Linked DNA regions of Chlamydomonas reinhardtii. The protein of the gene in region 1 binds, or shares a complex with, the protein of each later gene. Links are inferred from orthologs where the notes say so. Each region holds a gene or a part of one and is shown on either strand. Other genes may lie near its edges.

Region 1 (5,965 bases):
CAGCAACTCAACACCCGCTGCATGCGGTCCCCAGGCAGCATGTTTCGGTCCCGGGATCATGGAGTTGACAGCCCCGACTGCCGCACGCACGCACCCGCGTGGCAGAAGTCACTGGTGCTTATCCAGGCCTCAAACGTCAGTGCCGTGGTGGGAAAGTCCTGGTGGGGAGGGGGGAGGGGAAATGGGCAGGATGGCACGCACTCCAGTCCGCGCCCCGAAGCCAGCCGCAAGAGCCCACACGGCTACCCCATACACACACGTCCATTCCCGTATCCCCCCTTCCTCCTCCGCGTACCCCCCCCTTTCTCTTGCCCTTTCGGCCTGCCCCTTCGCCTCCACGCGCTGCTCTGACAGCTCCCCCCTGGACACCAGCCCTAGCGCCCCAGCACCCCCTCATCCACATCTGCCGCCTCACTACCTGCCCTGCCCTGCCCTGCCCTGCCCTGCCCTGCCCTGCCCTGCCCTGCCCTGCCCTGCCCTGCCCTGCCCTGCCCTGCCCCTGCCCTGCCCCTGCCCCTGCCCCTGCCCCTGCCCCTGCCCCTGCCCCTGCCCCTGCCCTTGCCCCTTCACCGGTCCCTCATCCCCCCCCTAACCTAGTCACTCCGCTCTCCGTGAACGGCCCCCCCACCCTCCCCCCTCGCAGCTCCCTCTCACCCGGAAGTCGGTCTTCAGCAGCACATGGTCCTGGAACTGAAGCGCGTGGCCCGCGCCGCCCGGAAACGACACGTCGGCTGTGCTCAGTGAAACATCAGGGGTACACACACGAAGAAGGCGGCGAAAGAGTAAGACCAAATTCGTAAGCAAGCAATGAGACGAGGACTAACAGCTGGGGTAAAGGGAAAGAGGAGTGCCCAGGAACGTCTGAACCCAAGGCGCCAACTCGGAAAATTGCAGCCGGCACATGGAACGAAGAAGAGCTAGAGCATTTCGCAGTCGCATGTTCATGACGTTCAGCTAGTCGAGGAGCGACGAAAGCGCCGGGCCCAAGGGTCATTCCCCCTGCCCAGTTCTGCGCTTCCCTCCCCGCCCCGCCCGCCCGCGCTTACAGGGGGCTGCCGCGACGCCTGCGCCGGAGCCCCAGCCGCCGGCAAGGTGCGCCGCAAGCGCGCAGCCCAGTAGCAACGTCAGCCGCAGCAGGCGCCGTGGCTGCCGCGCCGGCGGGCTCCGAGACCCGCCGGGGCCAGGGCCGGCGCCGTCCCCGTCGCCTTGTGCTTCTGTCAACATGGCATTCTCTCCGCTTCTTGCTCTTCGCTGTCCTGCCATGCTACAGCTGCCGGCGTAAATGCCTCAGCTATCGCCTCCCGTCAATGCGCAAAGTCGACGCTGTCAGTCTTGCTGCAAAGCGCAACAGGGCTACAAGGATGTGTGGGAAACAGGTGATGCGGAACGCATAAGGAACCCAGTTACACACAAAGCACGTATTGAGCGCGCGCGGGTCAAGGGGAAGTTTTGATGGCCACATCTCTTAACGGCCTCCATCCCGCCTCCCCGACAAGTTCGTGACCTTCCTTGTCCGAAATGCATACCAAGTCAAGCTCCATGCAGCAAGTGCCCAAGCACGCTTGCAAACAAGCCAACACTCTCCGCCAGCCCCCGCGCGCACCCCACACGTATTGCACCATGCTGCCTGCCCCACGGACCAGCAACCCAGCGCGGCCGCACCTGCCTCCTCAGCACCGCATTCCGTTCCTCCGGCCGCCGCCACCACACCTGGGCCCGACAGCTGTGTGCTATCCAGCACATCTAAAGGGGGGAGGCAGAACCACCGCCGCGGCGCGGCCCCAGTAGCCGCCGCGATAGCACCTTGCGTCCCGATCCTCCTCCTTCCTCCTGCCCTGCTGCAGCCTCCTGGTGCCGGCTGCTGCTACAGCCTGTCGGCAGCCGCTCGCCTGTCCGCCCCTCCCATCTCCTCCCTCACATTCTTCCTCCCCTTCTCCCCTTCTAGGAGTTGAGGGCAATCTCCAGCTGCTCCTTCAGCTCGCCGGACTGGTAGGCCTCTGCGGGGTGTGTAGAGGGGGTTTGCAGGCATGACCAATTAGCCGAAGGCGCAGTGGTGCACAGACCCGGGGGGGGGGGGCAGGGTAGCAGCCCGTGCGAGGTGCGGGATTGCTCTGAGCATACCCAGGCAGAAACCATAGACAACAGGATGCAGGACAAGACCGTGTTTGCGTCCAGGCAGGAAGGCGTTAGACGACGGCGGCAATCAGCGTCACGTACACGCAAAGGAGGCAGTCATGCCAACCTTCAACTGAACTGAGGGGCGAGGCCTAGGCCAGCGAGCGAGACGGAGGCGGATGGTGCAAGATGTGTTCGTGGCAACGGGCGCGGTGCGGCGCGCGTGGCGAAGCTGGACGTGCGCGGGACGGCCCACACGCAAGACGTGGCGCGCGCGGCCGAGCAGGCGGTGGCGAGGCGCGGCAGGTGCCGTCGGGTGGAGACGTGGAGTGCACGTGGGGTGGTGTGGGCTGGCGGCAAGCCGCGTGTGTCCATCGCCGCTGTGGCGAGGCTTATTCAACGTGCTTCACGCAAGCTCTACGTGAGCTTAACGTGCGCACATAAGACTCACCCATCATAATGTCGCAACCGCCGAAGAAGTCGCCGTTAATATAAACCTGTGTGTATGTATAAGTTACAATGCGAAGAGGTGGGCAATATGGGCTATACTGGGGCGGGGCCAGGCGGGGCTGCGGTAGGGGAGGGTGAGGGCCGCCCGAACCGAGACTCGTCCCCCGAGGGCCGTCCCCGAGGGCCGGAGGCCCGAGTGCGGTGTTCGTGCAAGAGCGAGGGCTGAGTTATATGTGCGGCCAACGGCGCTTAAGGAGAGGGCAGTGGGATGCAAAGGGCACAGGCGCATGCGGGATCATCAAACCAGCTGCCCACGGCGGCAGCCCGGTGCAACGCCCACCCATCCCGCGTTCAGCCAGTTGCCACTGCGCCAACTGGCTGCCACCTGCTGCTGGCCCTGCGCCCTGCTGCCGCCCGCTACTCCCGCCCGTCCCGTCGCACTGCCGCCGCACGCCCGGAATCCCACACCCCCACCATGGCCCCCCGGCCATCGCCAGAACGCGCCGTGCCTGCCAAATGCAGCAGCAGCGGCCTTCCCCTGCCCCCGCCCACCCCCAGCTCCTGTTGCGTTCACAGCCCCAATGCCCCGGCGGCTCCAAACATGCCCTGATCGAACACGAGCTCCTGGTCACGAGGCCGCGCGTACCTGCGGGAAGGTGGGCCATTGGCTGTACTCCTTCATGCCGCTGCGGATGGCGTCGTCCTCCAGAATGTTAACGGTCTGGTACGGCACATCCATCACGTTCAGGATCTGTTGTGGTACAGACGGTAAGGGCGGGCATCAAGGTGCTGCGCTTGCTCAGCGCTTGAGCAGGGTAGCCGCAAAAGGCGGCACGTGGTTGTGCGGGCCAAGCGCCCGCGTCCTGTCTGGCTTTCGATAGTCACGCATCATAATGTGTAACCGCTCGCGTGTTATGTACCTGCACCACGGTGTTGGAGAAGCCACACATTGGGAACTGGCGGGTGCCCTTCATGAAAACCTGCACGTAGATGGTGCGGGGATGGCCCGAGTCTCAGCGACACAACTCTTTTGGGGGCAGAGCTTTGCCTGGTGCATCAAAACTTACCACCACTTTGTTGGATGCAATAAGCTCGTCAATGGACTTCTTCAAATCGGGGGCCATTCCAGAAGCCGTGACGCGCACAGTCTGGCTTCGCGCTACGCCAATAGATTTGCGCGCAACCTGAGCCGGGCGCCGCGTCAAAATGGTGGTAGCCGGACGCATATTGCACTGAAGCGAGGCCATCTCGGTGGTTCACTATGCTGGCAGGCAACGGTACGCAGAATGACAGTAGCTGGCGGCGCTTTGTACACTCTGTTCATGAATTAATAATGGGTCGCTAGTCTTATGCGGATGGAGTCTTGCGGGTTTTGGGCTGGGTACTGTTCTCCCCCCGCCCCCCCCCCCACCCACCCCCAAATTACAATCGCCCCCCCCCCCGCCGCTGCCCACCCCTGCTCCCACGCCCCTCTCATTTTTTGGTAATGATGTAGGATATACCTTAACAGCAGCCATACAGAATGATAAGGTAACACATCCCGCATTAGACAAGGGGACGAAGGGGTACGGCATACCCTCCCCTGCGGCATACGTATGCATGCCTGGCCTGACAAATCCCGAACGTGTGCCACGGCGCTGCACCCTGCTGCAATGAACCCAGAGCAGCGACAGCCAATGGAGCCACACACGTCCATCAGGTACGCTTGTGCCTGGGCCTTCAGGAGCATTTGGAGATTGAAGGGGATGAGCGTGATGACGAATAATTGAGCCCCGGATGGGGCCGGGGCCTGCCCCTTTTTAATTATCGTCTCACCGGCGGCTCAAGCTACCACGCCACTGTGCCAGCGGGACAGTTCGTCAGATTCTTATGGTTAAATTCCGGGGGAGGGGGCTACAGTATTTCCACCGGGGTGCGGAAAGCGCGGGGCCATGTGAGGCCTCTCCGTTCAGCTGTGGATGGCCTCTCGGTTCCCCTGAACTCTGTGCACTCAGCTGCGCCCACGCCACGTTGGTGCAACGTCTAAAGGCCGAAGGTTGCAAAAGTATCTCATCTCCCGGACCAGCCCGGACAAAGCCGGGCGGGGTTGGCTGGTAGCCTGGTACAGGCACGGCCGGCCATGCGTGCAGCCACGTCCCGCAGTCAAGCACAAGCACAGCAGGCAATACACCAAACAGTAAGGACTCCCCACACACCTTGCCGTGCCATCCTATGCTCGCCACCAAAGACTGCTCGCCAGACACCGGCAGGTCACACCCTGCGCGCCGGCACCGCTACTGGTTGTGCACTGCGCCAGACTGCGCACGGAGCAACTCGGAGCTTTCGAAGGGTTCCGAAGGGCTCCGAGAAGCAGGGCTGAAGCCCCGATGGAAGGGAGGAGCGGGCATTTCGTGCCAGGGCCACCAGCAGGGCGCCTAGACCGCCTGCAAGCCCACTCCGCCTTCCGCTCTGGTCTACGTACGCATTAGTTCCGCAACACTCGTCAATAACCAGCTCAGGGCTGTAAGTGTTGTTACTGAAGTACTGGTTCCTGTCGGTCCCTGTGCCCTGGTATGTGTCCCGCCTTGAAGCCCTGAGCTCTGTACCACTTCCGTGCGCGCGGCTTGATGCCGCTCTCCTTGACTGCGTTGAAGCCAGGCCTGAGCCAGGCGTTGTACATTTAGCAGGTTCCGCTTGCTTGCAAAAGTAAAGTTTGCGCCGCTGGCACGATACGCATATGGTGGGTAACCTGTCATAATTAGTAGTCGCTGCGGCGACTCCAGCGCGAGACAGGACCAAGGACCTGAAGCGAGGCGTAGCGAGCGAGGCCGAACGCGGCGGTTGGCCACTTGGCGGGAGCGGCGTCTCACGTGATACATGTAGCACCAGAGTAGTTTTAGCTATAAACGGGCCCTTGATACGATAAGCTTCCTCTTACAACCCCACAGCTTCTGCCCGACCGGCGCGGCCCTGTCTGTCGTGGGAAACCACGCACCCATAACCGCCAACGGGGAATCGGTGCGCTAGGCGAGCGCTCAGCCGCGTCGCTGCCCTGTTCATTAAATACACTCGCCCTAGCCCCTTACTGTCACCGACCTGACTTAGTGACTGCACGTGCGTGCGCGTGGCAACAGTGTTCCATCATTAATGCCTAGACCAAGCCGCTTCGCCAGGTCAAGTCCGGCAGCGGCCCAGTCATATGACCTTACTTTATAGCGTGGAAGGGATGCAGCGCAGGAGCATTGCTCTCTGGCGTCGCTCGCCCCAGGGCCCCACGATAGATGGTAAGTTGGAGCTCAGGGCTCGAGCAGGTCCAATTGCATACGCGACCCAGACAGTTTTGCCCCACATAGATGCGCGTCTTGTGAGTGTATACGTGCAATCCTTTACGACCCGTCTGCGCGGGTGTCAGACGAGTGGT
Region 2 (5,686 bases), on another chromosome or scaffold:
GATGATTTGTGTGTGCGGTTGCAACGGGCAGCTCCCAGTGGGTTCGGTGGCTCCTTTCGTGCGGCGGTGGGTGCCATGGTGGCTTGCTGTTTCCCGCTTCTGCTAGATGGCCATGCTGCACCACAAAAACCAAAACCCTGACATGCCGTTGCTGTTGCTGGTGCTGGTGCTGCTCTTACCTTCTGCTGCTGGTGCTGCTCTTACCTTTCGTCGCTGCTGCTGCTGCTGCTGCTGTCCGCAGCGGGCGCTATGTGGGTGAGATGAGCCTGCTGCTGCCGGAGCGGCGGGTGGTGCGCTTCAGTGTGCTGGACTTCTGGGGCAACAGGGAGGTGAGGGCGACTGCAGCGGGCGCTGGGGGCGGCCGGGCAGGGGGGCGGCGGGGCGGGGGCAGCGGCGGGGGCCGGCTCGGGGCCAGAAGGCGGGCGTGTTTGGAGGGTCTGTGGAGCAATTTTGGCGTGCGGTGCTGGGCGGCGCCTGAATCGCTGAGGACATCTCCTGGTAGGCTGGCGCGAAACTGCGGATGCATAATGGGGAGGGGAGGTGGCGCGCGCATCACCACACCGAGCTCACCGCGCCGCGCCAATTTCCAACTCCCGCACCAAGCAACCGCACCCAACGCACCAACCACACACCAAACGCACCAAGCGCGCCAATCATGATGCCCGCGCTCCGTGTTCCTCTGGCCACACACACACACACACACACACACACACACACACACACACACACACACACACACACACACCTTGTGCTCTTTAACACACACGCCGCACGCCGCACGTACACGCAGGACAACGACGTGCCTCTAGAGCGGCTGGTGCCGCCCTGGCGACAGCGCTCGGTGGCGGAGGTGCGGGGGCAGGCGCGGCAGGCGCTGATGCCGGTGTCTGTGCAGGGCGACCGCGAGTACTACATCTCCGTGCCGCACGGCCACGTGCTGCAGAAGGAGGTGGGGCGGAGGGGAGGAGGGGGGCTGGGAAGGGGAGCTGGGAAGGGGGCTGGGAAGGGGGCTGGGAAGGGGGCTGGGAAGGGGGCTGAGTACAGGAGGGGCGTGGCCTGGGGGGCTGGGGGGCTGGGGATCGGCCTCAGCAACGTGCTGTTGTGTGCGTTGTGTTTGTGGTCCATAGTGCTGCACCGGCACACCGTATGGCGGAGAAAGGACACGACATCTTCTCCTCCTACCGAAGTCCCCTGCCTCCTCTTACGCATCGTCCCTGGTTGTGGTTCGCCTGCGCCCTCGCTGCTCACACGCCCACAGCTGCTACAGAAGCTTCTCTACGGGGCGCCACTGGAAGGGGAGGCGGCCACAACCGGCGGCAGCGGTGGCGAGGGGACGGCCAGCAGCGCTAGCGGGAGCAGTGGCGGCGAGAGCGGGACCGGCAGTAGCGGTGGAGGCGGGGAGTTGGCGGGGACGCCGGTCGGGGGCCAGGGCGCGCAGGCGGACGCAGGGGTTGCAGCAGCCGATGGGGCTGGGGCAGTGCCAGGGAGCGGGAAAGCTGCAAGCACGGAGCCCGCAGCTAGCAAGGGGAGAGCGGCGTAGGACCAGCGAGTCCGGCGGGGGCGACACCGAACGCTGGTGGGCGGGGGTGTCATTGTGCTCGAGAGCGTGTGTCACTGAGCATGGGATTGGATTGGTGCGAACGCGCAGGATGCCGTAAAGACATTTTGTCAACCAAAATTCATTTGCGTTTCACTTGAGCACCACGAAACGGACGGAGCCCAGACTGTTTACGTTTACTGCAAGCTTCTTCTTGACTGCGGCCCCAAAGGTTTAACCACTTCCAAAGTCGCTCTACAAACATGAGTGTGACAGCGGATCAAGTGAAGGAGAAGCTGACGAGCGCTCTAGAAGCAACTAGCGTGGTGCGTAAAGCATGCTGGCACACGCGAATGCGCGCGCACAGTGACACATTGCTAACAATCGCTGTTCATTAACATGGCTGTACAGGAGGTCGTCGATACATCGGGAGGGTAAGCAAAGGGTTGGCGGGAAAGGCTTAGTCCAGGACAACGGCTCTCTGCGTGGGGATGGCTGGGGATGCACAGACACATGACGACCCCGGTCGCAAACTTGCTCCGTTCCCACGCAGCCTGGGAGCTAGGGGCTGGGACTGAGCGCCGCTTCGTAAAATTGAACGTAGGCTTAGGCGTCTCGGACAGCGTGGGCCGCTACCAAGCTTCACACGGGGTCTGCTGCCACAGCCTGAGGCGCCGTGTGCCCCTCGTGCGGCAACTTAGCCCCGTTGCTTAGCAGCCTTTCTGAGCCCCCATAGCACACAACATAAGCGCACTGCTCGCTCTTGTGCTCGCAGGTGCGGGTCGGCGTTTGAGGTGTACGTGGTGTCGGCCCAGTTCGAGGGCAAGACGCTCATTGCGCGACACCGCCTGGTGCGTGGCTGCTGGGGTGGCGGGGGCACGGTGAGGGGCTGCGGGATTTGGGGCATGGGCACCGAAAATGGGGCTGCTGGGAAGGGGCCTGCGGCTCTGGGGCTGGGACGGGGAGCCGTGTGGGCGGACTGGGGCAGTGGCGCTTAGCAGCCCACTTCCAGGTCAAAGGTTTACGGCAAGGGCATTCAAAGTATTACGCCGGCAGCACCTTGGCACCAGCTTGGCAAGGCCGATACGTATAGCTGCGCAAGCGTAGCTGAGGCATGGGTCCGACCGGGAAGCTTTATCACAACAGAACACACATGACAACCAGCTTCCCATCACACGACCCGCTTTTTGGCCTGGGGGAGGTGCCGGGCCCAGCCGGGGCCCACCCCCGGTCGCCTGACACCCGGCCTCTCCAGGCCATCCAATGCAATCCCAACCAGACCCGGACAGCTGCGGCGTGAAAGCGGCAATGGCGGCCGGGCGCTACGTGTCATCAGCAACCGGGTGTGGGGCGGGCGCCAGATGCCAGTGTGTGTGGGCCTTATTGCCGGGGGGACTGAAGAACAGCAAGTCAACAACCACCTGTCCCTTGCTGCCGTGACTGCCCTTGGAGTACGTGTCAGGTCCCCCCTGGCCTGAGTCTGAGATAGAGTCCCAGGCAGTCGCTCCTCGTAGTCACGCCTTGCCGCATCGTCGCACCTACTGCGTGCATGGTCTGATGCTCCAAACCACTCCCCTTCTGACATGGGTCCGAACGGGAAGCTTTATCAACTTATGAAAACGAACAGCTTCCCACTCCCACGACCCACCTTTTGGCCTCGTGGACGCTGGAGGCCAAGCGGGGCCCACCCCCGGTCACATACCCAGACTTGAGGGTCAAGACTGCCCCGCCCGTTCCCAAAATCCCAACCAACCCCACACAACTGCAGCATTTTCCAACGGCGAAGCTAGACCCGGCGTCTGACGTATAGCTAAGCTAGACCCAGCGTATGGCGAGTAGCTGGCACCCGACACGGGTAATGGAGCCGGTTGTGGCAGTGTGCGCTGCCGAGCAGTCAGCGCGGAGTGAAGGACGGAGCAAAGGCGGGTGGGGACGGCATCAGTGACCGGGGGTGGTGCGGGCGCCGGTTGCCAGTTCGTGGCAGCCTCAGTTACCGGGGAGCCTCAGCAGCTGGTCGGTGCAAGGGATGAGCAGGGGGATGGGCGTACTGCAAATAATGCCAATGCTTGCCTCCCAAACGCGACGCAGAACCCAGTACCGTAATGTTACATAAGTGCAGAGAAATGTTACGGATGCTCAGCGCGGCCTACGAGAGCTGCTGGAGGCATTGTTTGCAGCTAGTAGGCAGGGGTGGCGGGGGCACGGTGTGGGGCTGCGGGAATTGGGGTATGGGCACCGGAAATGGGGCTGCTGGGAAGGGGCGTGCGGCTCTGGGGCCGGGACGGGGAGCCGTGTAGGCGGACTGGGGCAGTGGCGCTTAGCAGCCCACTTCCACCAGGTCAAATGTTTACGGCAAGGGGTTGCCAGCAGGCCGGTGTACTTCAGGGGTGGGCCATTGGGCTGACATGGTCAGCGCCGGCGTGCCCCTCGCCGCCTCTCAAGATGGCCCAGCCGGAGCACTGCACTCGGTCCCGACGTGGGTATAACAGCCACCGCCGTGACCCGTTACACCCGGCGTAGTCACATCAGCACGCCTACCTACTGTCAGCAATCGGCATGCACTCGGACTCTAAACCACTGCTCTCCTGGCATGGGTCCGAACGGGAAGCTTTATCAACTTATCAAAACGAACAGCTGCCCACTCCCACGACCCACCTTTTGGCCTCATGGGCGTTTGGGGCCGAGTGGGGCCCACCCCCGGTCACGTGGAGACTCGGGGTTTGAGAATGGCACGCCCTGTACAGTTACAACTCGAGAGGACTGGTAATGCTGCTCCTGCGCAATGCAATGCGATGCAACTGTGCCAGTCACCTTACTGTACTATGCTTTAGCGACAAAGGCAGTGGCGTCGTGAGCCACGGCCCAGGGCGGACGGCGGAGATAAGAGTCACACGCGGTCACTCCTCGTAGCCATGCCTGACTTACCACATCTGGACAAATTGTGGACACCTACTGCGTGCATGCTCTGATGCGCTAACCGTTGCTCTTTTGTCAGGGTCCGAACGGCAAGCTTTATCAAAGTTAAAACGAGCAGCTTCCCACTCCCACGACCCGCCTTTTGGCCTCTATTGGTACTAGGGGCCAAGCGGGGCCCACCCCCGGTCACGTGGAGACTTGAGACAGACTCGCCCTGTTCAGTCGGTTGTAAGGCTACTTCTGTGACAGGCCAGTCGCGTAAATTAAGATCCGGCGGTGACTGCAACACGAGGCCCCGGTGCGACCAAGGGTGCAACACGGCGACAAGGAGGTGCGGCGTCAGCCTTTGGGCCGCCGGCGGCCAGGCTGTTGACTGGGGCCCAGCTGGAGTGGGCGGGGCGTTGGGGCCAAAGGTAACCGCGGGGAAAGGTGTAATGTGTGTGTGTGCCGCGTGGGGCCGTGGGCCATGGCAATGCCCTCACATGAGGAGGACAGGCGCGCAGCCGCGCAGCTTTCGGAACGTCATGCGTGCCGGATCACCTCAGCAACAGCTTGGCAAGGCCGATACATATTGCTGCGTAAGTGTAGCTGAGGCATGGGTCCGACCGGGAAGCTTTATCACAACTGAACACACATGAACAACCAGCTTCCCACCACACGACCCGCTTTTTGGCCTGGGGAAGGTGCCGGGGCCCAGCGAGGCCCACCCCCAGTCACACTTGGCAGCAGAGCACGCAGCTGTGCCCGCACTCCTAACAAGCCTCTCATTACCATTCCGTGCGCCGTGCATTGGTCTGATACCGTACTCAACCGCACCCCCGCTGCGGCCCCTGCACAGGTGAATGACGCCCTGAAGGCCGAGATGGCGCACATCCACGCGCTGTCGATCAAGAAGGCACAGACGCCGGCGCAGGCGGCGGCGGCGGCGGCCCCTGCCAGCAGTTGATGCGGCGGCACTGCCACGGCCATAGACGCACACCGTGTTGGCCGCTGCCTTGGCACCGGCATGGTGGCTGTGTTGAGGACGAGGGTGATCGGAACTTGGTGTGGTGTGTGCAGTGTGCCCTGACTGCGCAAGCGACATGGCGTTACGTTATAGTTTGGTGCTGCTTGGCACGGTCGAGTGGATGCCTTCGTGCCCGGCAGGCAGTATTGGGGCGGGGGCATTGCGGGTGGCGTCTTCTGTCTTGCTTCCCACTTGCCGCAAGGAGGGCCGCTGGAGCAAGGGTGTGG

The links.
Region 2: the proteins of CHLRE_07g325743v5 (region 1) and CHLRE_03g164550v5 are in contact, whole or in part, in an NMR structure (PDB 2MMA), measured with the Arabidopsis thaliana proteins. The link is inferred for Chlamydomonas reinhardtii from reciprocal best matches to the Arabidopsis thaliana genes CXIP1 and AT5G09830. Residues at the interface, in NP_191050.1 of Arabidopsis thaliana: Lys130, Ser133, Asn134, Trp135, Pro136, Thr137, Glu146, Phe147, Phe148, Asp152, Ile153, Glu156, Ala157, Thr160, Glu162, Glu165, Glu166; in NP_568217.1 of Arabidopsis thaliana: Arg46, Leu47, Leu48, Arg50, His51, Arg52, Asn55, Met62, Ile65, His66, Ala67, Leu68, Ser69, Ile70, Lys71, Gln74, Gln78.

What each region holds. Positions count from the first base shown.
Region 1 is NC_057010.1:1,904,116-1,910,080, reverse strand, and holds CHLRE_07g325743v5 (uncharacterized protein), read right to left. Parts: upstream 3,890-5,965; 5' UTR 3,690-3,889; coding exon 3,633-3,689; intron 3,546-3,632; coding exon 3,486-3,545; intron 3,317-3,485; coding exon 3,212-3,316; intron 2,613-3,211; coding exon 2,567-2,612; intron 1,998-2,566; coding exon 1,942-1,997; 3' UTR 1,392-1,941; downstream 1-1,391. Other genes in the region: CHLRE_07g325744v5 (uncharacterized protein), read right to left, coding at 95-158, 655-731, 1,047-1,224; CHLRE_07g325742v5 (uncharacterized protein), read left to right, coding at 5,771-5,828. UniProt on the Arabidopsis thaliana protein: May only reduce GSH-thiol disulfides, but not protein disulfides. Probably involved in the regulation of the redox state of the BOLA proteins. May act as Fe-S cluster donors to Fe-S cluster-requiring proteins.
Region 2 is NC_057006.1:3,070,669-3,076,354, forward strand, and holds the start of CHLRE_03g164550v5 (uncharacterized protein), read left to right. Parts: upstream 1-1,697; 5' UTR 1,698-1,800; coding exon 1,801-1,863; intron 1,864-1,948; coding exon 1,949-1,971; intron 1,972-2,312; coding exon 2,313-2,388; intron 2,389-5,291; coding exon 5,292-5,399; 3' UTR 5,400-5,686. Other genes in the region: CHLRE_03g164500v5 (uncharacterized protein), read left to right, coding at 242-329, 791-949, 1,259-1,540. UniProt on the Arabidopsis thaliana protein: May act either alone or in interaction with glutaredoxin as a redox-regulated transcriptional regulator, or as a factor regulating Fe-S cluster biogenesis. The GRXS17-BOLA2 heterodimer binds a labile, oxygen sensitive iron-sulfur cluster.